3 linked regions of the Lonchura striata genome follow. The protein of the gene in region 1 interacts with the protein of each later gene in a biochemical or structural test. Links are inferred from orthologs where the notes say so. Each region holds a gene or a part of one and is shown in the gene's direction. Other genes may lie near its edges.

Region 1 (7,244 bases):
ACAAGGCATATTCCAGTGAGTTTTTTAAAGCCACGTGCTCCAGCTGTGACTCTGGCAGACACTGAATGCTTGGGGGGTGAGGATTGGAGCTCAGGATTACCCAGCTCCCATGGGAGAGGTGAGGATAACATCAGGGCCCAACCCATCCAGCAAGGATTTCTTAGGCAGCGTTATGGCTTTATAAAATCCTGTTTTAGTTGCCCTGGGTGAGTATTTTACCTTGGCAGCTGATGCAGCCGTGTAATAACCATCATTATTCCCATCAAGGCCTCACAGATGTTCTGCTGCTGCCAGGGAGAGCAAGTCAGCTGCCAAATCATGCCACAGAAATCTTGGAGTCACAGAAATACTTGGGTTGGAAGGAACTTTAAAGCTTGTCTCCTTTCAACCCCCTGCCATGGCCAGGGACAGCTCCCACTATCCCAAGTTGCTGCAAGCCCTATCCAACCTGGCCTTGGACACTTCCTGGGATGATGTTCAAAGAGGGACAAAGAGCCAGGAATTAAAAAAACTTCAGAAGCAAATATTGTAGTGCTGCTTGAGCAGTAAAATTACAGTTTAAAAGCATCAGAAAATGATGAATCAGGAAAAATCTGGGTGGATATTCCCCAAAGGAGATCCAGCAGCCCAGACAGGCTTTGAGCTCAGGGAGGAGCACAATTCACCACTACCCCAAGCAAAGCAGATCTATTTGGTTATTAAATAAACCTGCATTTCATGCTCTTTTTGTAAGCAATGATGGTTTTAAACCCTGAAGATGAAAAAAGCCACCCCTGCATTAATTAGGACCACAAAAATATTATGGTAGGGAATGAATATACACAGAAATTTTTTTCTAAAACCTATAGGTGTTGGTCCTTCAGCAGCCTCCTTAAGAGCTATTTGTTGTTCAGTGCTGAAGCAGGCTCACCATGATTCAATCAACACTGATTTAACAAGTGATAAGAGAAGATTGCCCAAGGCCTCCTGACCCATTTCCTTATCTTGTTCCTGTAGTGTTGGATTTTGTTCCAAAGGCCAAAGCCTCAGCAAACACCATTCTTTTTTTTTTTTCTGATATGCTATAAAAATACGATGAGATAAAAAGGGGATTTGTTTCATGCCTGGTTTGGGCACACAAGGGATTTTTGAACTCTCTGGGAAGTCTCAAATGGGGAAACTTTCCTGGCTGCATTCAGCATCATATATAAAAACAAATTATAATTGAACCACAGAATGGTTTGGGTCGGAATGACCTTAAAAGTTCATCCCATTCCACCCCCTGCCATTGCCAGGGACACCTTCCACTATCCCAGGTTTCTCCAAGCCCCATCCAACCTGGCCTTGGACACTTCCAGGGAAGCCACAGCTTCTCTGGGCACCCTGTGCCAAGGCCTCACCACCCTCACAGGGAACAATTCCTTCCCAATATCCCATCATACCCATTGCCCCTTGTCCAGTCCCTCCATCCCTTGTCCCAAGTCCCTCTCCAGCTCTCCTGGAGCCCCTTTAGGCACTGGAAGGGGCTCTGAGCTCTCCCTGGATCCTTCTCTTCTCCAGGTGAGCACCCCCAGCTCTCCCAGCCAGGCTTGAGAGCTCCAGCCTCTGGAGCATTTTATCTCAAAAATGATCATATTATCTCAAAAACTGACATGTTCTCAGTCCAGACTAACAGCAATAGGGGAAGCAACTTTGACACTTCCTCAAAAAGGGCAGAAAGTCAGCACTCTGTGCAAAATTTTAGTTCATACTTTCATTTCTTGAAAAAGACACCAAATCTTTGTAGGGAAAACAGGTGGCTGGTCCCTCAGCCCACAGAGGACACCAGCAGAGCCTGAAGGATGGGCTCCCTGGTGACTCAGAGCAAGGCAAAATAAAAGGTGTTTTATGGGACTGCACAGGTTTAAAATCACTATTTTGTGACTTCTGGGTGAAAAGCTAGCTGGAAATAAGGAGGTGTGGGGAATTCAGAGGGAACTGACCGAGTTACTGGAATAAATCAGAGTTCAGTGATGTCCTGACTGCAGCTCCACACAACTGGAGGCACTGAGGCTTTTGGAGCCAGATTGTACAAAGGGCAGGACAAAATCCAGGTTATTTCTCCTGTATTTTATGCCAATAAAACCTTGCAGACAATGTGGAAAACTGAAATCAACCTTCAAAGGAGAGAGAAGAAATCCTGTGGAGTCAGAGGGAAGTCAGGCAAATTACAACTGATTTTTTAAAAAAATATTTTAATTGTTAAGGCACAAATAAAAACATAGTGAAGGGGTGGTTAAATATTACATGCAAAGGCATGCAATGGTCCAAGGGCCATTGCACACAGAGCATCGAAGAATAAAAACATTTAAACACATCAAATACATCTCCCATTTTACTGCCTAAATGCTGGGTTGTACAGTCAAGTGTATTAAATGCTATTCTGATTTTTCTCATCACTTCACTAGGAAATCTTCACAAACCAAAATCAACCTTTAAAATGTGAGTGTGACAAAAAATTGATTGATATAAATGGAAACAGGGGGAAAAAGGAATATGCTCACTGTTTTTTGATCACTGATTAATTATTTTTTTGATCCAGGCCACATGGTCTTTTCATTTCTGAGAATGGTGGGGAGTATAGTTTTTACCTCCTCCTCACAGAGAAGGGTGATAAAATAATAAAAAAATATAGTTTTTCTCATTAAAGAGAAGGTTTAGTGTAATTGTGGTTTAGTACAGGGCTTGAAACTGGTTCCTGAGATTATTTTTCTGTTGTTCATACTCCTGAAGATTGGCCAAAATGAGGGAAAAAGTGTCAGTCAGCACAGTAACACAGTGAAATATTTCTGTATTTCCAGATGAAAACTTCAAGAGATGCTGACAGGACAGCATGGAGACGGGATAGTGGTGGGGTGCAAGGAGGTTGGAGTAGGAAAATTAGATGGGAGAGAGGCAGGCTGGAAGAGGGAAGCAGGAGGATCACAGAACCCCAGAATGGTTTGGGGGGGAAGGGACCTTAAAGCTCATCCCATTCCACCCCTGCCATGGGCAGGGACATCTTCCACTATCCCAGGCTGCTCCAAGCCCTGTCCAACCTGGCCTTGGACACTTCCAGGGATCCAGGGGCAGCCACAGCTTCTCTGGGCAACCTGTGTGATGCAGGTGGAGTTGAAAAGGGATGCGTGTGGGATGCAGAAGGGTTTAGGAAGGATACAGGCAGGCTGGAGGAGGAAAAGTAGATGGGAGAGAGGCCAGCTGGAGGAGAGAAATGGGAAGGAAAAGGTATAGAGGCAGGATGGAGACAGGATAGCAAAGGGTGGGATACAGGAAAAATCCAGACAGGTTGCTGGAGGAAAACTAGATGGGATGGAGATGGGATGGAGGAAGAAAGCAGGAAGGATATGGATGGGATTAAACCAGGATAAAGGTGGGATGCAGGTGGGATTGAGGAGGAATCAGGCAGCTTGGAAGGTGAAAAGGAAATGGGATGGAGTGCAGCACAAAGGGAAAAAGGCAGGAGGGAAGATGCAGGACGGGATGGCAGGGGCAGAACATCTTTGGGATCGAGGAAGGTCAGAGACAGGCTGGAGGAGGGATACAGGTGGGCTGGAGGTGGAATTGAGGAAGGAAGGATGCAGGAAGGATGGAGGTATGAAAAGCAGGTGGGACGGAGGGATGGAAGCAGAGCAGGGGTGCAGGCAGGATTGATGGAAGCCTGCAGGGACAGGGATGGAGGCAGAAGGGAAGCAGGCAGGAGGAAAGAAGGAAGCAGTGAGGAGCAGGGATGGAGCCGGGAGCAGGGATGGAGGAAGGAGGGAAGCAGGGAGGAGCAGGGATGGAGGAAGGAGGGAAGCAGGGAGGAGCAGGGATGGAGCCGGGAGCAGGGATGGAGGAAGAAGGGAAGCAGTGAGGAGCAGGGATGGAGGCAGAAGGGAAGCAGACAGGAGGAAAGAAGGAAGCAGTGAGGAGCAGGGATGGAGCCGGGAGCAGGGATGGAGGAAGGAGGGAAGCAGTGAGGAGCAGGGATGGAGGAAGGAGGGAAGCAGGGAGGAGCAGGGATGGAGCCGGGAGCAGGGATGGAGGAAGGAGGGAAGCAGGGAGGAGCAGGGATGGAGGAAGGAGGGAAGCAGGGACGAGCAGGGATGGAGGAAGGAGGGAGGAAGGAGGGAAGCAGGGAGGAGCAGGGATGGAGCCGGGAGCAGGGACGGCTGGCTGGAAGGATGGAAGGAGGGAGGGAGGCGGGCTCTGGGGGCGGGCAGCAGGCAGGATGCTGTCACGCCGGGGGCGGGCAGCCCGGCATGACTCAGCCTCCGGGAGCTGCCCTGGCCGTGGCTGCCGAGCGGGGCCGTGAGCGCCGGTGGGTCCCGGTGGGTCCCGGGGAGAGCCGCGGACGCGCGTAAGAAGCGGTAAGGGAGGGGATGCTTAGGGCCAGGGCACACGGCAATGGGGCACCCCCTTGCACGGCTCCGTGAGAGCCACGGAGCACCCGCAGGGACAACAGCAGCAGCGTCTCCCGCTTTTTCCAGCGGCGTTTTGGGGGATTTTTTTGGGCTAGTGCGGGATGCGGGATGCGGGGTGAGGGAGGGAGATGCGCTGCGGCGCGGATTGTTGCCCGGAAAATGAACCCTCGAAACGCATCAAACCTTCAAGAAAGGTCACGGGAGGGGAGAGGAAGCCTTGTTTTTGTGATCGAGACAGGAAAACCGCGCAGCTCTGCCCGTCAGCTGACGCCGAGGTCGCTTTGGCACCCTGGGAGCATCCCGTGATGCACAGCCCAGCCTGGGTTCGGAGCGGGACCACGGCTTGGGAATGGCGCTGGAGAAGCTGCCCTGCGTCCCTCTGGCCTGGAATAAATCTCCCATCCCCGTATCCCACTCTCGGGGATGCTCTGCGGGCGTGAGGTAGCAAAGATCGCTTCCTCCTGGCATTTCCCTCGAAGGAAGGGATTTCCGTAGCACGGGGTGTGTGGGGGTTTGTGCAAGACTCTGGTTTATGGGCTGGTCTGTAAGAAGAGGGAATTAAAAATCAGTACAGCTTCATTTGGGAAGAATCTTGTGCTTTCTGTGCACGGAAGCTGCGGAGGTGAGTGCTGCAGCTTGTCTCAGGAGGGAATGACTTTGTCAGATACAGAGCAGCCAGGTCTAGTAGGGTTGAAATTAGATCACCTTTAGGATCTCTTCCAACTCAGATCTCTAGGATTCTGTTACCTGACCTGTGTTAGTGATCCGGCTTTGCTAGGAGGGAATAAGCGTAGGGAGGAGCGCCTGATATTGTTTTTTTCTCGATGAAAAAATAATTTAAGCTGCGGTAAGGCAGCGAGAGCTGTGATGAAGTCAGCAGAGCACGGGTTTGGTGCTGCCAAGCTCACCTGGTGACACAGCAGGCTGAGCTGGATCGGGAGCTGGAGCTGAACCTCGCTGGGTTCGCTTTGTTGTGGCTTGGAGTCACAAGCCCTGGCAGAGAGAACAAAGGACAAAGGCTGGTGCTGAGCAGGACACATGATTTGGGCTGTGCTGAGCACCCCTGGAGGGCTGGGGGGTGTTGTGGAAGGGAGGGTGGGACAGCTTTTACCTTCCTCAGAGCCTTGCAGGAGGTGTGGACGCCTCTGTCTGTGCCTGCAGGGGGTTGGCCCAGACAGTGCAGAGCTGGGAGATGCTGCAGGGCTGTGTCTTATCTGTGGTCTGAGCTGCCTCGGCTGAGTCATGTGAGCTGGGCTCGGAATAGCCGGTTTGGGGGTTGGGTTGTTGCTTTTTCTTAAATGAAGTTAAATGGGACTTGTGGGCTTTGTTTTGGGGAAGGACACCCAAGAGTGAAGGGATTCGCTGCTTGGCTGCTTGGGAGGGTGATGTGGGGTCCTGCTGAGGTTGGGATGCCAGGGTTCGACTGTCAGGAGCTCCATCCTCCAGAAAACAGGCGGGGAGCTGCCCTGGCTCCCCGACCTGCTCAGGAGGGATGGAGATGGCTCTTGGGTGGTGTCTCCTCCTCCGCTGCGGCAGCTCAGAGGGCTGTGGGTGGATGCTGCAGCACCAGCACAGCCACAGCCCTGCGGGTGCTCTCCTCCCTCGCAGGCTGCAGCAGCTCCTGCAGAACCTCCGCTGCCTCCTCCTCTCTGCCTGGGAGAGGGGCTGTGCTCAGCTGGCCCAAATTTCCTCTTTCTGAGCGGCCAGCTGGCTGAATCGTGAGTGTCCTGTCCCACCCAGGGGCAGGTGTGCTGGTGGGTGTTCATTTCTTGCTTATTTCTTCTTCATCCTTCAAGAAATGACATTAGCAGATGCTTTGGATCTCAAAGTATTCCCTGCTCTCAGTCCAGGGGAAGGTGGAGCAACCCAAGGGGCTCTTTGCCCGCCCCAGACATCTCCTGCCACCTGGGGAATTCTGCAGGGTGAAGCTGCTGTGTCCTGAGAAGCCCAAGAGCCTTGTGTTGTTTCCAGGGTGGTGGGATGTGAGCTGTGGATCAGCCTTAGCCAGGGTTATCCTGAAGCTGAGGCACCTCTGGAGATGTTGTGGGGTGCAGAGGGAAAGGATCTGCTGGGGTTCCTGGGGAAACTCCTCTGCCCTGTTTGCTGTGCACGAAGCGGGGAGCAGATGTTGGGGTGCGGCAGCTGCGATGCAATTTTGGTTTTGGGGCTGCTCTGGGGTTCAAACGGCCCTGAGGTTTTAGGTGTGAGGAGGAGATAGCGGTGCTGGGGGAAGCACCAGGGTGATAACACTGCCAGGGGAAGCTTTGCTGCTCGGATCAGCTGGGACAGGGGGTGAGGGAGGAAACCAGCAGCTTTTAGTCACTGTCGGGTCTCTGGGCTTGTTGTGGTTGGGCTGCACATGAGCCACGGTCAGTGGGAATCCGTCCTGCCAGTCCCGTGCCTGTGTCCTATTTATAGACCCGCTGAACACAGGATAAAGCCTGGGAGAGGGGGGGTTAGGGAGGAAGAAATCCCACGGGGGTGAGGATTTCCCCTTCCTTTTCCAGACAGATCGTGACATACCTGATCTTGGGTGTCAGCTCTCACCACCCCAAACTCTGCAGCCATAGGAGACCTCGTAGAATAATAGAAAGATGTGGGGTGGAAGGAGTGTTTAAAAGGGCATATCATTCCAACCTCTTTGCCATGGGCAGGGACATTTTAACTGTGTATTTTAGCTGTATGTCAGGTTGCTCAGAGCCCTGTCCAACCTGACGCTGAATGTTTTTTGGGATGAGGCATCCCCCATTTCTTGGGGCACCCTGTTCTAGTGCCTCACCACCCTCACAGGCAACAATTCTTTCCCAATATTCCAAATTCCTT
Region 2 (7,244 bases), on another chromosome or scaffold:
AGGAATAGAGCATGGGTAATTAGGATCTACTGCCAGGCTTGTTTAGTGAGTCTGCCTTCACTGTGCCCTTGCGGAGCTGTGTGTGCCTTGAGCACTGGCTGACTGGAAGGGACAGGCTCCCAGGGTGACTATGCATTGTGTCCTTTGGTTTGCACCATCAGAGGAGGTGTGCACCTGGTGCTGGGGTTAGGAGCTGGAAAGTTGTGTTGGTAGTAAATACTGAAGGCTGCAGTTTGACAATAACCCTTTTATCTCTTATTTTCTGCAGTTGAAATTGATGCAGTCGGAGCTCAATGTTGAAGAAGTGGTAAACGACAGAAGCTGGAAGGTACTCAGTCATTTAATAGTGATGATGTCCTGTCCCAACAGACATCGCAACAGATGTCCTGCACTGGAGGTGTGGGACTGGTGCCTTGTGAAGCAGATTAACTGGAAATAGATGAAGGCACTGCTAGGGGAAATGCTTCAAGTCAGTAATTTTCCCAGTTCTGTAAGCAGAGATCAAAGCTCTTCAGTTGCACTGCCAAGGAAGGACTGTGAATTATTCCCTGTGTCCCTTTCTCCCCCTTGCCAGTGGCTGAGCACTTGTAGGCTTTTCTGTGGTGACTTCTCTGAAGAGCTTTTCAGGGCCTCTAACAATGTCTGAGAGAAGAGTCTTTCACATTTGCCTGTATCTGGTGCTGATCACAACTCTGAGCAGAGCCCAGGGGAGGGTGAGGCTGTAGAAGCTGAACCTTTTCCTGATGGAGTTTCTTCGGGCCTGAACAGACACTCCGTGGTGCAGAGGGCAGCCTTGCCGTTGCTCTCCTGTGTCAGCAGAGGGTGCAGATCACCATCTGGATGATGGCCCTGAAGTCTATCCGGTGATTTTAGCACTGAGCTTAAGTTCTGAGGTGGCTGTATTGCGTCACTGCAGCATTTCACATCTGGCATCCTTTGCTGGTTTGATGTAGCTTCTCAGAGCTTTCAGTACTGCAGAGAGAACCTCTTTCCCTCTCTAAATGCAAAAAGGATTTTTGCAAATAGCCACTACTAGCTGCACCTTCCTTTTTAATCCCTACTTCATGATTTTAGTCTCCTAGATTACACCAGTGTAAAACCAATACAGCTTTGTGTCTTGGGTGTTCATCAGTAACCTCAGTGCAGGCTGATGAAATGAGCATTTACACAGTTTTCTGCATATGCATTGTCATCAGTACACCTCTGTAGTACTGTCCCAAAAAAGCTAAGCATGCACTTCAGTGTAGTTTTAAACCCACTCAGATCTGACTAAGCGATGCCACTGCCTTAACAACAACATGCTGCAGGTCACCAGGGGCAAATATTTTACAGTGACTCTGCTACAGGGGAACAGCCCCCACCCTAATCTTCCTTCTGAAGCACCAAATTTAGTAATGATTCTGGAGGCTTCTTGTAGCTGCATTAAGCTTTTACTGGTGGCAGAACTGTCTAATTTTTTCCTAAAGATGGAGAGTTTATAAACAGTGAGGTATGCATGGTGTAGGGGTACTTTAGGCTGCTGGTATATTCCTCAGCCAATGTTCAGAGTGGGGCTTGAAGAGATAAATATTTCTGAATTTTATCTCCAGTTCTGTTACACTGTGCTCTGAATATACACATAAATTTCTCCTTTAGCTGCTTGTTAAAATGTCAGTTAGAACCAGTCATGGTTGCAGACTGAATGCAATTTGTTACATGGATATGATTATTGGTGTGCAGGCTGGTGTTTCACTTTTGTGGACTTCTGGTTGGGAAGTACACTTGTGTATGTCCATTAATCCTAAACAACTGAAAACTAATGGGAAAAATCTGATTAGGAAACAGATGTTTAAACACTAGAGGCTGTAGCAATAGTGGCATACAGAATGCTCCTTTTGAGAAATGCATGTGGAATTTGGATCATACCATACCAGGAATAGAGTTTCAAACAAGACACTTGCAGTAGTCTCTATCCAGCACCTCTAGATTGGAGATTGGAGTTTATTGTTGGAGTGGTTTATGCAAATATGTAAAAGCCAGCAAAATCAAACTTTTGCATAGTTACATGCATTTTAATGTTTCTCAGCCATTGATTTTCCTGAAAAATGTCTGATAAATGAGACTAGCACTTTACAAGTAGACCAATGGAGTTAAATGGCCTTAGTAACACTAAGTAACACTAAGATCTGTGAGGCAATGATCCTAAAAGTAGGAGGCAGTGTTAGTAAGAGTGCAGTGTTGGTCTTCCTGCCATAGGTTGTGGAGTTACTGTTGAAGATACTTTGAAAGTTAGTGTGATAGCAAGCAAGCTGGTGTGTTCTTTGATGTTAGAGACCCTTGCAGTGCTTTAGAGAGCATTTCCAGCACCCTTTTAGACATTATTCCATTCAAATGTCATTAACAGACAATGGACAAAAAACGGTGTGATTTGTTCTTGAGTAAAATGTTTCTGAATTGGACTTCATGCTGTTGCTCTTAATTTCTACAGTTTCTTCCTATCACTGATCTCAAATCTTTACCTCACCTGAACTTTTCCAGAGGTGTCCATTCCATGTGGTAACATAATGGCTGCACGTTACTGTGTGTGAAAGAAACTATATCACAGCTTTTGCTTTCTGCAGTATGAATCAGTTTGTAATACATGTCTATTTCTTTAAATAAATTAAATTTGAAAGGTAGTTGAAAATTGCTCCAAAATTGTTGAGAAGTAATGCTGAAACTAATGTGTGCTCCAGGCTTCACTTTTGCTGAAGTTGCCGTAGGTTCTGAACTGTGAATAAGATCTGCTCTAGAAGATTTTAGGAAGATACAGCTTGAAACTGTATATTTATATAAAGTGTTGGATAACTTCCCCAAAATTACAAGATCACTCACTTTGCACATAAAGCCATTGGGAGAGTTCATGAAACTTCATATCCTGATGATCACAGGCACTTGGGTCTGCCACATCTCTGGACAGCTTGGCAAAATATGCTCTTGTGGGAATGCTGGCGGGACAACCAACAAACAACCTGCCAGAGCCTCAGCTTGGTGTCAGGTGGTGCTTGTGTCGCTTTCAGGACTTGTGCTGGACAAATTTGGATAAAAACTGATAAATCTAAATGGCTTATGAAGAGCACTTGCAACCTTGGTGGGAGGCTGTGTGGTTTGCTTTGGATTCAGGCTGCCTTTCTTTAAATAGTCACGTTTTTTGGCCCTCCTTAGGGTAGGATGGCAGCAGTTGAAGCTAAATATACACAATTCTCAGCGTCCAGTTCTGGAGGCTAAATTTTACCCAGAGAAGATGCCAGAGGTGAGTGAGGCAGGGGTGCTGTGCCCTTTGCACGGAGTGCTGGCAGCATTGGCACAGGCAGGCAGGTCACTGGAAGTGTGCATGTGGCTTTCAGGAGCCCTTGCCCCTCTTCTTGGCTGTCATGCCAATGTAAAATGTGCCTGCTCAGGAAAGACAGGAATTCAGCACCCAAGTTTGAATGCCAGAGTGAACCTAATAGAACACAACCATTCAGGAGCCTTCCCATGATTATTTCCCTCTCTTTTAAAAACAAAAAGGCATCAGCATTTTTGATGGTAACAGCCTGCCAGGATTAAGAGTCTGCATTTTCTGAGGGAGAACACTTAGTGCTGTGGAGTCTCCCAACATCAGGCTGCAGACTTTGGATTTACTAAAGCCAGGAGTCAAGGTGAATGGAGATGGATGTCTTGGTAAGTGCCATTTATTGATACCTCAGAGCTGGGCAGCTTGAGATGGGTGCTACATGAAGAAGTAGTCTGTGAAGTTCTGCTCATTTCCTGGATGGGGTTGATTCACTTTTGCTCTTCTGTTTTGGTGTCTCAGGTATTTAATGAGCGGTGCCGAATTCACTACAAGCCTCCGAAGAGTCAATGATGATGTGGGGTATTTTCCATCAAGGTGGTCCATAACTGTGAGAGCAAAACTGGAAAGAGACCTTGGGTGAGCTGAATTGGGACCCTCCAGAACCAGTAGAACCCAGTCTTGTTTTGTTTTGGACCTACTTAGATGAATTCTCAACTTGAAATGATTCTCCTGTAATTAAGAGAAAACAACTCATCTTTTGTACAAAATATGTGAACAAATGAGTTTTATAGTATTAAAACAATTTTCAATCGGAATGCAAAACTGGCATCTTTCTTGAACTTCCACAGCTTCAGTGATCCCAGAGGGGAAGAAAGAGTAAAACCTATCCTGAGCAGGGAGGAGAAGGCTCTCCCTGAGCTGGTGCCTACTAAAATATCAGTGAACATACTCTTTTTGTGGAAATAATCTGCTGAAGTCTGAAAGGAAGTAAAAATTGCAGACTGATCAACAGATGTATTAGATTCAGCATTGCTGAAAGTAAGACGTGACCAGCCTTGTTCTGAACTGCTCAGCATGAGCAGCAGTGGCTCAGAGCTGTGTATAGGCACAGGTTTGCCATTGCTCCTGCAATGCTGACAGGCAGCATCTGTTGCTTGCTGCCCTTTGGTCTGTGTTTGCAAGTTCTGGAGTTTTCCATTGTACAGGGGAAGTGGTGTATATTAAAACCACGTAACGTTGGAGCTGAAGATGTGTCTCATTTGGGAATGAGACTGCCAGGGACCCTTTTTTGTCCCTCTCTCTGAATATTTAAGAGTAGTTCTAAGGGTGAATTGTGTTTGAGCTGAGGAAACAGCTGTGCATACTTGATCCTGCTGATCCTGGCCGTGGTGTTGTGTTTAGAAAGCTTGAATGCAGCACCCCTGCAGTAACACAGCATTTAAAGGCAGATAAGTAGGAGGAAAGCTGAATTGTTGCAATTACACCTGTATATTTTACTTTTTATTTTGTATTTATCTCAGATAGGCTGACAGTGAAGTGACAAGGTCTGCGTGGTTGCCAGCTGATACGATCTTAAGAACCACTGAACTTAAACAGATCCCTAAAAATACAGGCCCTGTCTTGCAAATACTTTGGAATTCAGCAACAGCAATGAAATTACTGGATATACTCTCACATCCCTAAAGCTTTGCATATATAGGGAGTGGGAAATAAATGAAGCAATGTACCTGTGTTACTGAGAGCTGGCAAAGATCTGTGCAGCAGCATCTGTTTTATAGTTGCAGTTAAGACTCAAACTGCTTGGAAGCCTTTTATTTTTAGGCATCAGGGTCATTTTATCTCACCTTTTTTTGAGAATGAAGTAGAAATATATTTTAAATCTTTGAGGATGTAAATCCTAATGTTCAAACATCATTTTTCCCCCTCTTTTTTTCTTGAAGTACTGCAACTTCTTTATCCAGAACTTTGCGTTGGAGCACTCATTCTTGAAGATTTCTCCTTGTTTTTCTGCAACTCTGAAAGCAGAAAATGTGTTTATTCTTCAGTTGTTAAATTCTTATAATTGTTTGTCATCAAAGTGTAAATCAAATACTGCTCATCACTCTGGGCTGAATTGGCACTAAAGAAATTTCAACAGGAGACGATGATCAATTAATGAGATGTATAGAACACTAAGTTTTGGTTTCAAAGCTGGTACTTCATTATTTATTAGACACTCTACAAGGATAGGTGTCTAAAATATTTGTTCTCTCCAGGCCTTGGATCAACTGCAAGGACAAATTCTCCTTTTTAGCCAGTTGTACAATAGAAACTTCTATGAGTGTGTGTAGACTTGGGTCAATAGTCTTGAAATAATAATTTTTTATTTCTGTATAAACTAGAGACTGTAATGAGAATTAATCATTGTCTTCCTTTATCCATCCAGATGTTTGCTCAGCTGTTGTGGAAAGCTTCTTCACTTAAGCAGATGCTGTGATAAATTACCTGTGAAATGGATGTGATACACAGTTTTTTTTTTTTTTTTCTTTTTTTTGCATTAGTTATGAGGAAAACTATGTTAAAAAAATCCCAAAACCCACAACCCCAAAAACTCAGCCCAACACAGAATTATTTTCAGTTTGAATATAAGGCCAAGCTAGTAGTCCTATACAAACCTGAGTATGGAAAACTGCTACCATGAGAAGACTCCTGAATCCCCAGCATCCCTTCTTGGGGTGATTGCATACAGAGGGTTGCAGTAAGACATTGAATTGCTTTATACAGTTTGCTCTGAGTGCAGGGGGTGTCTCTTAACAGTAGTCCACAGCAAATCTGGTGGCTCAGAGGCAGCTTAACGTTGCTGTTGAACTTGATGGAACATGAAGGTGAGTAAATAGAAGTGCATGCCACGCTTTGGGTGCGGGCTGGAGGACACGGCTCTGCTGGTTCCTGAGAGCCTCAGAGCTGCGTGTGGAGCAGGATGTTCTGGAATGTGTGCAAACAGCATCGGTGTGAGCTGTGTGCCACACTGAACACAGGCCGGTAAATTCTGTGTCTAGGGACCCCTGAGGATTCCAGGATGGTGTTTAGTCAGGGATTGAACCTTGCCTCAACATTACCATTGAGGTAGTTACAAAATTACTGTTTGCTGTCATATTGGGGTCAAATAGTGGACACTACAAACAGCAGAATTTCTTCCTTTCTCTGGTTTTAAGTTCTATTTCTGCAAGTAAAGACATTTGAGCATAGCTGATGGCCGTGTCCAGAGTCCTGTGGATGCCTTGCCTCTCCCACTAGGGCTTTCCCATTGCTTGCAGGTGGTGAACAGAGGTGGGCAGATCCCACATGCTTGGAAAGTCCTCTCAAGCTTGTGCACCTTTCTTTCTGTGAAATAGAAAGATGTGTTGTTCTTTTTCTAGCATTCAGTGCTGTTGTCTTCTGCAGCCTGTAGGCATGAAAGACTGATGAAACAGGTAATTTCTTTATAGAATATTTTTAACAGTAGATTTCAGTTGTCTTGAAGCAGACTGAGAGGAAGAGGCTCAGCATAGGCTGGGCCATGATAACTGTGCTGCTGAAGGTCAGGTTTCTGTTGATCCTTTTTCATGTACAATGTCAGAAATCTTTCAAAATTGGGATGGGTAGCAGGAGTGGAAGCCTTTTTTGCAGACCAGCACATTGAAAATCAAGGCTGTTCCTGTGATGATGAGAGCAGATCTTCACCTGGTACATGGAGGGCTGCTTTCCTCTAGAAGCTCTTAAAGACATTCAGATCATGTCATGTGCAGCCACAATTACATGTCACTGTGAAACCAGAAGACTGACCTTACTGACTTGGCTTTCACAATCATTTCTACAGAGCTGACTTCATTCCTGCTTTAAAAATTACTTGTAAATACATAACCCTGGGGTTTGGATTTGGTGGAGGTTAATTTTTTTTGCTTTTTTTTGTACTGGTGTTTTTATCAGC
Region 3 (7,843 bases), on another chromosome or scaffold:
CTGTGTGATTTGGCTCTATACGGCCCCACCATCCAGTTACCGAAACCATGAACTGGAGGATGAGATCATATTTATCACCTGCCATGAAGGCTCCCTGATGGCCCTCGGCTTCCTCATTGGCTACACCTGCCTACTGGCAGCCATCTGTTTCTTCTTCGCCTTCAAGTCTCGAAAGCTGCCTGAGAATTTTAACGAGGCCAAGTTCATCACCTTCAGCATGCTGATATTCTTCATCGTGTGGATCTCCTTCATCCCTGCTTACGCCAGCACGTACGGCAAGTTCGTGTCTGCTGTGGAAGTGATTGCAATACTGGCTGCCAGCTTTGGGCTTCTGGCCTGCATCTTCTTCAACAAAGTCTACATCATCCTCTTCAAGCCCTCCCGCAACACAATCGAGGAGGTGCGCTGCAGCACAGCTGCCCACGCTTTCAAAGTGGCTGCCAGGGCCACACTGAGACGGAGCAACGTGTCCCGCAAGCGCTCCAACAGCCTGGGAGGCTCCACCGGCTCCACCCCTTCCTCCTCCATCAGCAGCAAGAGCAACCACGAGGACCCTTTTCCTCTACCAGCCTGCGCCGAGCGGCAGCGCCAGCAGCAGCGCGGGTGCAAGCAGAAAGTCAGCTTTGGGAGTGGAACGGTCACCCTGTCGCTGAGCTTCGAGGAGCCACAGAAGAACGCCATGGCCAGCAGGAACGCCAAGCGCCGGAACTCGCTGGAGGCCCAGAACAGTGACGACAGCCTGATGCGGCACCGGGCCCTGCTTCCCCTGCAGATCAATGAGCCCCTCGGGGCTGAGCCTGGCTTCCAGGCAGCTTCCAGCCCAGAGACCAGCTCACAGGAGTCGGTGGCAGGAGACAACAAAGAAGAGGGACCAAACCCTGAGGCAGAGCCTTCCCTGCCGTCGGTTAACTCCCGAAATTTTATAGGCGCCGGAGGTGGCTCTGTCACAGAGAATACGGTACATTCCTAACGAAAGAAGATTGCGAAAAGTACACCAGGCCCGAGAGGAACTTGCTCACCTCTTGCTTCTGAACGGGAAAGGTAACAAAGACACACTGCTGTGATACAGCCCCACCACACCTTAAAGTTAGCGTCGGCAGGGTAGCACATGTGCCTCCAGAGGAAGGACTGTGTCTGGGGAGCCTTGGACTGAATTTGCATTTGCTTTATTGAAACCAGGACATCTCAGAAGGACAAGTGAAGATCGCCTTGGGTGGGGCTTAAGCAGAAGTCTGCATGCTGCCTCGCCTCCTTAAGCTTTTCCTGCCAGACTGCAACTCAGCTGACTATGGGAGGCACTAGGCAATTCCACTATACCCTGCTTTTACATTTATGTATAATATTCCTCTTTCCCACTATGTATGATATTCCCTCTTTATCCAGTATATGTGATCTGTAACCATGTGCGTCAGGACTCTCAGCTCTACAAAAGCAAGGTACACGGTTTCACTTCAGGAAAGCACAATCATGGGGAAAATAAAAAAGCCCCCAACATCCTGCATGCTGTGTACAGCCAAGGGTGTGAACATGTAAAGTATTTAATGTGACAGAGCGCCCTGCTATTTATATTTAGTAATGTCCCAGTCTCTCCTTTCAGCCCAACAGGAAATACTGGACAATACTCTCCGTAGACTCCATTGCACTAGACCAAGCTACTTAGGTTCCTACTGGTTTCCTCCAACTGGAATAGCTTTACCTCCAGCCTGCCTGCTTTGGTGGAGGGGGAGAACAGCTTGTAAAGCCCTCCCAGAGAACGCTGCAAAAGCACAATGAGATGTATCCCTGATTATGTCGCTAGTAGTTGTGTGCTTAACCAAGTGTTGCTGCTGTACTATCCCACAAGGCATACATGGCTAACCCTTTCACACCATAGTCAGTGTTGTGCTTTGCTGTATTAATCTGCCTCACACCTACACAGAACATTGCGACAGTCCTGGCGGTACTGGTGGGCCTGACACAGCAAATGAAACAAGGGGAAATGGAGGAGTTAGGGATGGAGGAGGTAATGGGATCACCAGAGCAGGTGAATATCTGAAGTGTTCATGATGGTAGATGACTGGGTGAGAAAGACATTCAGGCCTAGGTTCTTAGACACACATAAGTGACAAATAGATGAACTGAATACAGTTTTGCTCCTAAAGGCCACCTACTAGGTTATTTCTCAATTTGAAGAGAGGTGGACGTATCACAAGAATGGTGGGCTGTACCTAACGCAAAACACTAAGGATGTCAGCAGAGAGCATAGCAGAACTTGATTACTCTTGTCCTACTCTTCCTAAAGCAGACATAAGTGCGCCTGGTTTTTCAAGGCATGCCTCGTTCTTTTTGATTTGTGCTGGAAAAGTTGAAGAGAGTCATTTGCAGAGAGATTTGTTGCAGCCTGATGAGAGAAGAAACATCCCTGGACAGCCTGGAAGGGAGGGCTAGGGTTACATTGCAGAATTTAATTCCTTCTTCCCAGATTCCCCATGGAAGATCAAGCATCTGTCAGGAAGATGTCAGTACCCTCCCTCATTGAGCATGAAGGTAGTCTAGACCTCTTCTAGAAAGGTAGATGGGCCTGCAGCTCAGTGTGAGAAGAGACAAAAGGACTGTGTTCAAATGCATTGGGGGAAACACCACAACTCTCTTGTTATTGTTTTTGCTTGGTTGTTCTTCTGCCAGGGCAGGCAAATAAAACTTACAGGTGAGATTACTGTATAAAAACTTTGTTTTGCCACCTCCACTTGTTGACAAGGAAGAGAAGTTTTGACTAACAGGAGCAAAGTGGAAGTCCAGAATCCGAAGAAGCAGGCTATTCAGACCAGTTGTTATAACCCTTTTGTTGATCTGTTACATCCCCCTTGGACTGGGCTCAAATTTTAACTACACCACATAAGGACCAACTCAACTATAATTGCAAGGCTTGCAAATCACAATATTTGATTAAAAATCTGACTCAGATGATTGAGGTGGGAGGGGGAGGGAAGTGAGTTTGAAAACACAAATCTTTCCAGCCCAAATTTTGGAAACTACATTTTGCCCCTGGACCCAGACAAGAGATGCTTACTGCTTCTGAAACCTAGGTCCCTTCCCCAGGCTGCTGACTGTGGCAGTGGGCTCAGTTTAGGGTACGGAATTGAGCTCCAGGGGCTCCTGAATCTAACTGCACAAGCAGGGATGAGCACTAGATGGCAGAGAGGTCTAAAAAAGGCATTTTGGTTATGGCCTACACTTCCAAAAATTCCAATAGCCAAGTAGTTTTAGTGCTAGTGAATCATTTCTACTGGAGCAAACCCAGCTCAACAACCCTTGAAGTGAAGCTGACAGCACTGAAACATGTAAGAGTTCAATGAATGAAATTAAAATAATACCATTTACTTGTGCAAACCAAAGACTGTGTACAAACACAGGCAATGTAAGAAACAGAAAGTCACCATCAGCTGCCTTGTCTGGAGAGCAATATTCACTAGCTGTGTATACTAGCTATGCATTTGGGTGCTTTTCATTCCTTGGGTGTTTTTAATTATTTACATTTACTTAAAAGGAATTTATACCCTGGCACACAATGAGTCTCCAAGAGCTGCAATCATTTTTTAGCATGGCCAACTGCACTGTATTTGCTGGGGAAGCCCCTTTCACCCTCCGTGCTCTCATACATGGAGTCCTAAGCCTGCAGCTCCAATGCTGCATGAGAGCTGCTGCTGCAGCTGATAGCAGCGCACACACGCTGGACACAAGGGAAGTTCAGTAAAAAAGGACCCCTTTGGGAAGGTGCTTTGTAACCAAATCCCTTTTCCCATGCAAGGAGAGGTGGATATGTTCTCATCCTGTGAGGTCCAGGAGAGGAGAAGGCTTGCTCCGGACAGCACTCATGAAGTCATGCTGGGGAACATTCTTCTGTTGAAAGCCTGAGCACCTCCACTGACATTTCCTACCAGAAGATGCCCACATGAATGCCTCATCCCACCCACCATGGCTCAAAAATCCACCAGAAAGTTTGCCTCAGTGTGAGGTTTCCTGAACTGTCCAGTGCGAAACAACAACAGTGTATCAGGTCTCTGGTGGGATTTCCACTGCAAAACTTGGGAACCACCTCAGTGAAGAGCCCAACCCTTCATTCCCAGTCTCCTGACAAGCCTGGCAGAACTCTGCCTACTGAAAGCCCCAGCAGAGGCTTTATTTATAGACTATACCAGAGGAAAGAAAACCTTCCCCATTATATTTCATTATATTTCACCATGTCCTCCTCATCAATCCGTGAGCTCTGTTCAGTTTGTAATACCTGCTATTGTTAAATTTAGGTTTATATTGACCAAATTTACCAAGGGGTGCTGCCAAGTGGGAGGAGGAAGGTAGGTGTTTGTTGTTGGTTTTGCAAGTCTGGATGTTTAAATTGTGAGGAAATTTAGGTAAAGACCTGAATGTTCAAACTAAAATCTCCCCAGGGATGTCCCAGAGGTTGGGTAATTCACCACCGCCTTCAGCTTGCTGGCTGGGGGGCGGCAAAATCAGCGTGGGAGAGGGAATGATGAACGTGGTGAGCGAGGGAGTCGGGAGACGGCCGCTTCCAGGCGGCGGAGGGAGCGGGGCGCTGCGGGGAAAGGCGGCGCGGGGAGGAACCGCAGCGGCTGAGGGCGGCGGCCCTGTCCCCTCCGGGCTGGCACGGAGGCGCCGCTCGCTGAGCAGCCCTTCCGTGCGGGGCGCCGAATAAATCCTGCCGGCAGCGAGCGTCGCCTCAGGCTGGTTTTGTCTTCGATCGGTCCCGCTGGGCCGCGCTGACCGCAGCCCGGCTGGGCGGAGCCGGGCCCGGCCGCTCCCGCCCGCGGGCTGCAGCCCGGCCCGGCACCGCCCGGCACGGCCGAGGGGCGGCCCCGGGCGGAGCGGAGCGCCGCTGCTGCCGCTGTGCCGCCGCTGCCATGTTGTGCGGGGGTGCCTCGGCGGCCCGGCCCGCCACCGAGGAGACGCAGCGGATCGCGGAGCAGGTGAGCGGCCGGGGCGCGGCCCGGGAGCGTCCCGCAGGCGGGGAAGGCCCGTGCGGGCCTGTCCGGGGCCCAGCGTGGGCTCGGCCATTGCTCCGCGGCTGAGCGCCGGGACGCCGCCCCCGGTGTAGAGCGGGGCAGGAACGGGCCGTGCGCGGAGCAGCCGGCGGCTCCCGGAGCTCCTTCCCTGCGGCCCGGCTGGCTCCGCGGGGCCGTGGGCAGCGCCGGGGAAACCCGGCAGAGCCACTGCCTTCAGCGAGCGAGCTCCTGTGCTGCTGACAGAATCCGACCCTGTGCATGCCTTTGGGCTTTCGTTCTGTGCCTGGGAAAGGGGGGATTGTTTGTTGTGTTTATTTTTGAGGGGGTGAAACGTGGAATAAGCAAGAAAGCTTCTTTGCTGCGTCTGCTTTTCCCCAACACAGAATTCGGCTCCAAATCCTGATACTACTTAAAGTACCTGAGGTTACTGCTCGTGTTATTGGAGCAAATGCTTTTACTCTAAAAACGCCATCGTGCAACTAAGTTCCTTCAAACCACACGTTCTTCTTTTTGTCACAGAAACTCAAGTTCCTTCTGCTTTTTGCCTTTGTCGACTAAGATGTGGTAAGCTAGAGAGCAACAGTTAAGAATGCGCTCCAGCTTCTGACACTTTGTCATTGCCTGAGCCTGTTCCCCAGGCAGGAGGAGTTCCCAAACACATACATAGCACCCAGAGGCACAGCAGCTACTGAAATGAACATTTGCCTTGTACAGTCTGAGGATTCTGTGTTTTAGGAAAAGGGAGAGATGTGCGTCTCCTAAGCACCAGCCTGAGTTTGCAGTAATAAGCACATAATTGAGAATTGCTGAGAGTTGCAATTATTGCTTTGACCTGAAAAGGCTTACATGTCACGTTAAAGGTAATGCAGATATGCACTTAACATGGGCTTAAAACTAGGTTTGAAATCCTGACTTTTTGTTCTGTAGCACACTGCAGTGGTTTGATAATCCAAAAACAAAACCCTGTTGGATTCAGAAGTGAGCAGAATTAACAAAAAAACCCTCATTTAAATCACGTAAATACTTTTAAAGTTTATCCAGCTTGTTTTGGCTGCCAGTTTAAATTACTTCCTTTAATGAAATACAGGTGGGAAAACTCACACTTGAAACTTGCCCATGCACTCAGATTCTCATCTGGACACTGCTGGAGAAAACATTAGTTTTGTTAAATCAATGTAGCCTTCTCAAATAATTTTGTTTGCTTAAAAGTCAGGTCTTTTTGGAGATTTATTAGAGTCTGCCAGTTTGCTTGCCATAAACATATTCCCCGTTCCTGCTTTTCCAGTTCTTGCCTTCATTTTACAGTTTCATAAGCATCCTTGTGATGGCCAAATGTTGTTCAGTTTTGTGACCCACAGCGGGTGTAGTGTCACACAGGGCAGGAAGGCTTCCTTTGGCAGTGTCTGGCTTAGGAATCCCATAGGAACAGCCTCCTCACAGCAAGGATTTCCAGCCAGGCCTGTTCAGCTTTGGCTCCTCACTGGTAATTGTGGCAGAGCTTATCCAGGGTGATTGTGAACCATCTGCTTTTTATTTAACTGCTCTGGCAGTGCAGGGCAAATAGGCCATGCAGGGCAGTGGAGAGTCTTCAGGGCATGATCATTTCCAGCCCTGTGACTGAATCATGGATTGTTTGGGTGGGAAGGGACTGCACCTCCTGCATGAGCACAGGGTCAGCATCCTCAGGCTGCTCAGAACTTTGTCCTGTCAGTCTTGAAAACTTCCAAGGATGGACTCCTGCTGTAGTGCAGTCCTCAGGGGAAAGGTTTCTCATGATATCCAGCCTGAACCTCCAGTTTCAGTTTATGACCACTGTGTCTCATTCTTGTGCCCTGTGGAAAATTTCATCCCTGTAAAGACCCTGGCTTCTTGTAGGTACTGGAAAGTTTTCTTCAAAGCCTTCTCTTCCCTGGGCTGAGTAAGCTCATTTTCTTCCTCTCCTCACAGCACAAGTGCTCCAGCCATCCTGGTGTGCTCGTGGAGTGCTCCTGGTGACCCTTCACTGGGCTCACTACAGTTCATTGGTGTCTGGCTTGTACTGGGGGCCCAGAACTGGGTGCAGGATTCCACATTTTCTGACAAAGGCCGAGTAAAGGGTAATAATCACTCCCCTGTCTTCTGGCTAGGCTCCTGCTGATGCAGCCCAGTATGCCATTAACTTTGTACCACTAGGACACAGTGCTGGCTCCTGTACTCCAGGATTCCCAAATCCAGACTGAGATCAAGAACCAGGTCTTTGGGAGAGTATTTCTGTCTGGGATCTCCCTCTGCACACTGAGGCAGGATGCTGGTTTGTCACATGCTGTGGTGACTCACAAACACCCTGACAAGCTTGCAGCTGCAGGACTCTGAGCTGTCTGTAGCCAGGGTCCAGTGTTCAGCTTCCTGGTGGAAACAAAAAATGTGCTGAGCTGGAGTGATTGAGTGACCTCAGAAACTAATGCTGCCCAGTGCCTAGGATTGCTAAAGGAGCACAGGACAGGATAGGGTCAGTGGGAGACCTATGTCTGCCCTGCTGCTTAAAATTTGTAAAAGTGTGATGAAAACTGAACACTTGCTCCAACCTCTGACTCGGGAGAAGGGGAGGAGGCAGGAGTGAATCATGGTGTTTCTTAGAATGCAGCTTGGATTCCCGTATGGCAAAGAACAAACAGGAAAGTGTTCAAACATCATTATCTTGCTTGTGACATACTGATCATAATCTGGAGGAAGTGTAGAGGTATGGCCTCTGAGAGGAGATAAAAAGCATGGTCACAGCTCTCAGGGACAGGATGGTCACTGAAAAGGCACCAGAGTTCTGGGAGTTGGAGAGGTGGGAGAACACACCCCATTGCAGGAATGGT

Evidence for each region.
Region 2: the proteins of CTSB (region 1) and cystatin-A-like form a complex in vitro, tested with the Homo sapiens proteins (3 studies listed by BioGRID and IntAct, with this or other methods). The link is inferred for Lonchura striata from reciprocal best matches to the Homo sapiens genes CTSB and CSTA.
Region 3: the proteins of CTSB (region 1) and cystatin-B form a complex in vitro, tested with the Homo sapiens proteins (2 studies listed by BioGRID). The link is inferred for Lonchura striata from reciprocal best matches to the Homo sapiens genes CTSB and CSTB.

Annotation. Positions count from the first base shown.
Region 1 is NC_134605.1:110,603,067-110,610,310, forward strand, and holds the start of CTSB (cathepsin B), read left to right. Parts: upstream 1-4,234; 5' UTR 4,235-4,367; intron 4,368-4,567; exon of another isoform or gene 4,568-5,043; intron 5,044-5,587; exon of another isoform or gene 5,588-5,665; intron 5,666-7,244. UniProt on the Homo sapiens protein: Thiol protease which is believed to participate in intracellular degradation and turnover of proteins. Cleaves matrix extracellular phosphoglycoprotein MEPE. Involved in the solubilization of cross-linked TG/thyroglobulin in the thyroid follicle lumen.
Region 2 is NC_134604.1:29,252,316-29,259,559, reverse strand, and holds the start of cystatin-A-like, read left to right. Parts: upstream 1-4,229; 5' UTR 4,230-7,244. UniProt on the Homo sapiens protein: This is an intracellular thiol proteinase inhibitor. Has an important role in desmosome-mediated cell-cell adhesion in the lower levels of the epidermis.
Region 3 is NC_134604.1:29,232,290-29,240,132, forward strand, and holds the start of cystatin-B, read left to right. Parts: upstream 1-4,828; 5' UTR 4,829-4,898; coding exon 4,899-4,964; intron 4,965-7,843. Other genes in the region: CASR (extracellular calcium-sensing receptor), read left to right, coding at 1-970. UniProt on the Homo sapiens protein: This is an intracellular thiol proteinase inhibitor. Tightly binding reversible inhibitor of cathepsins L, H and B.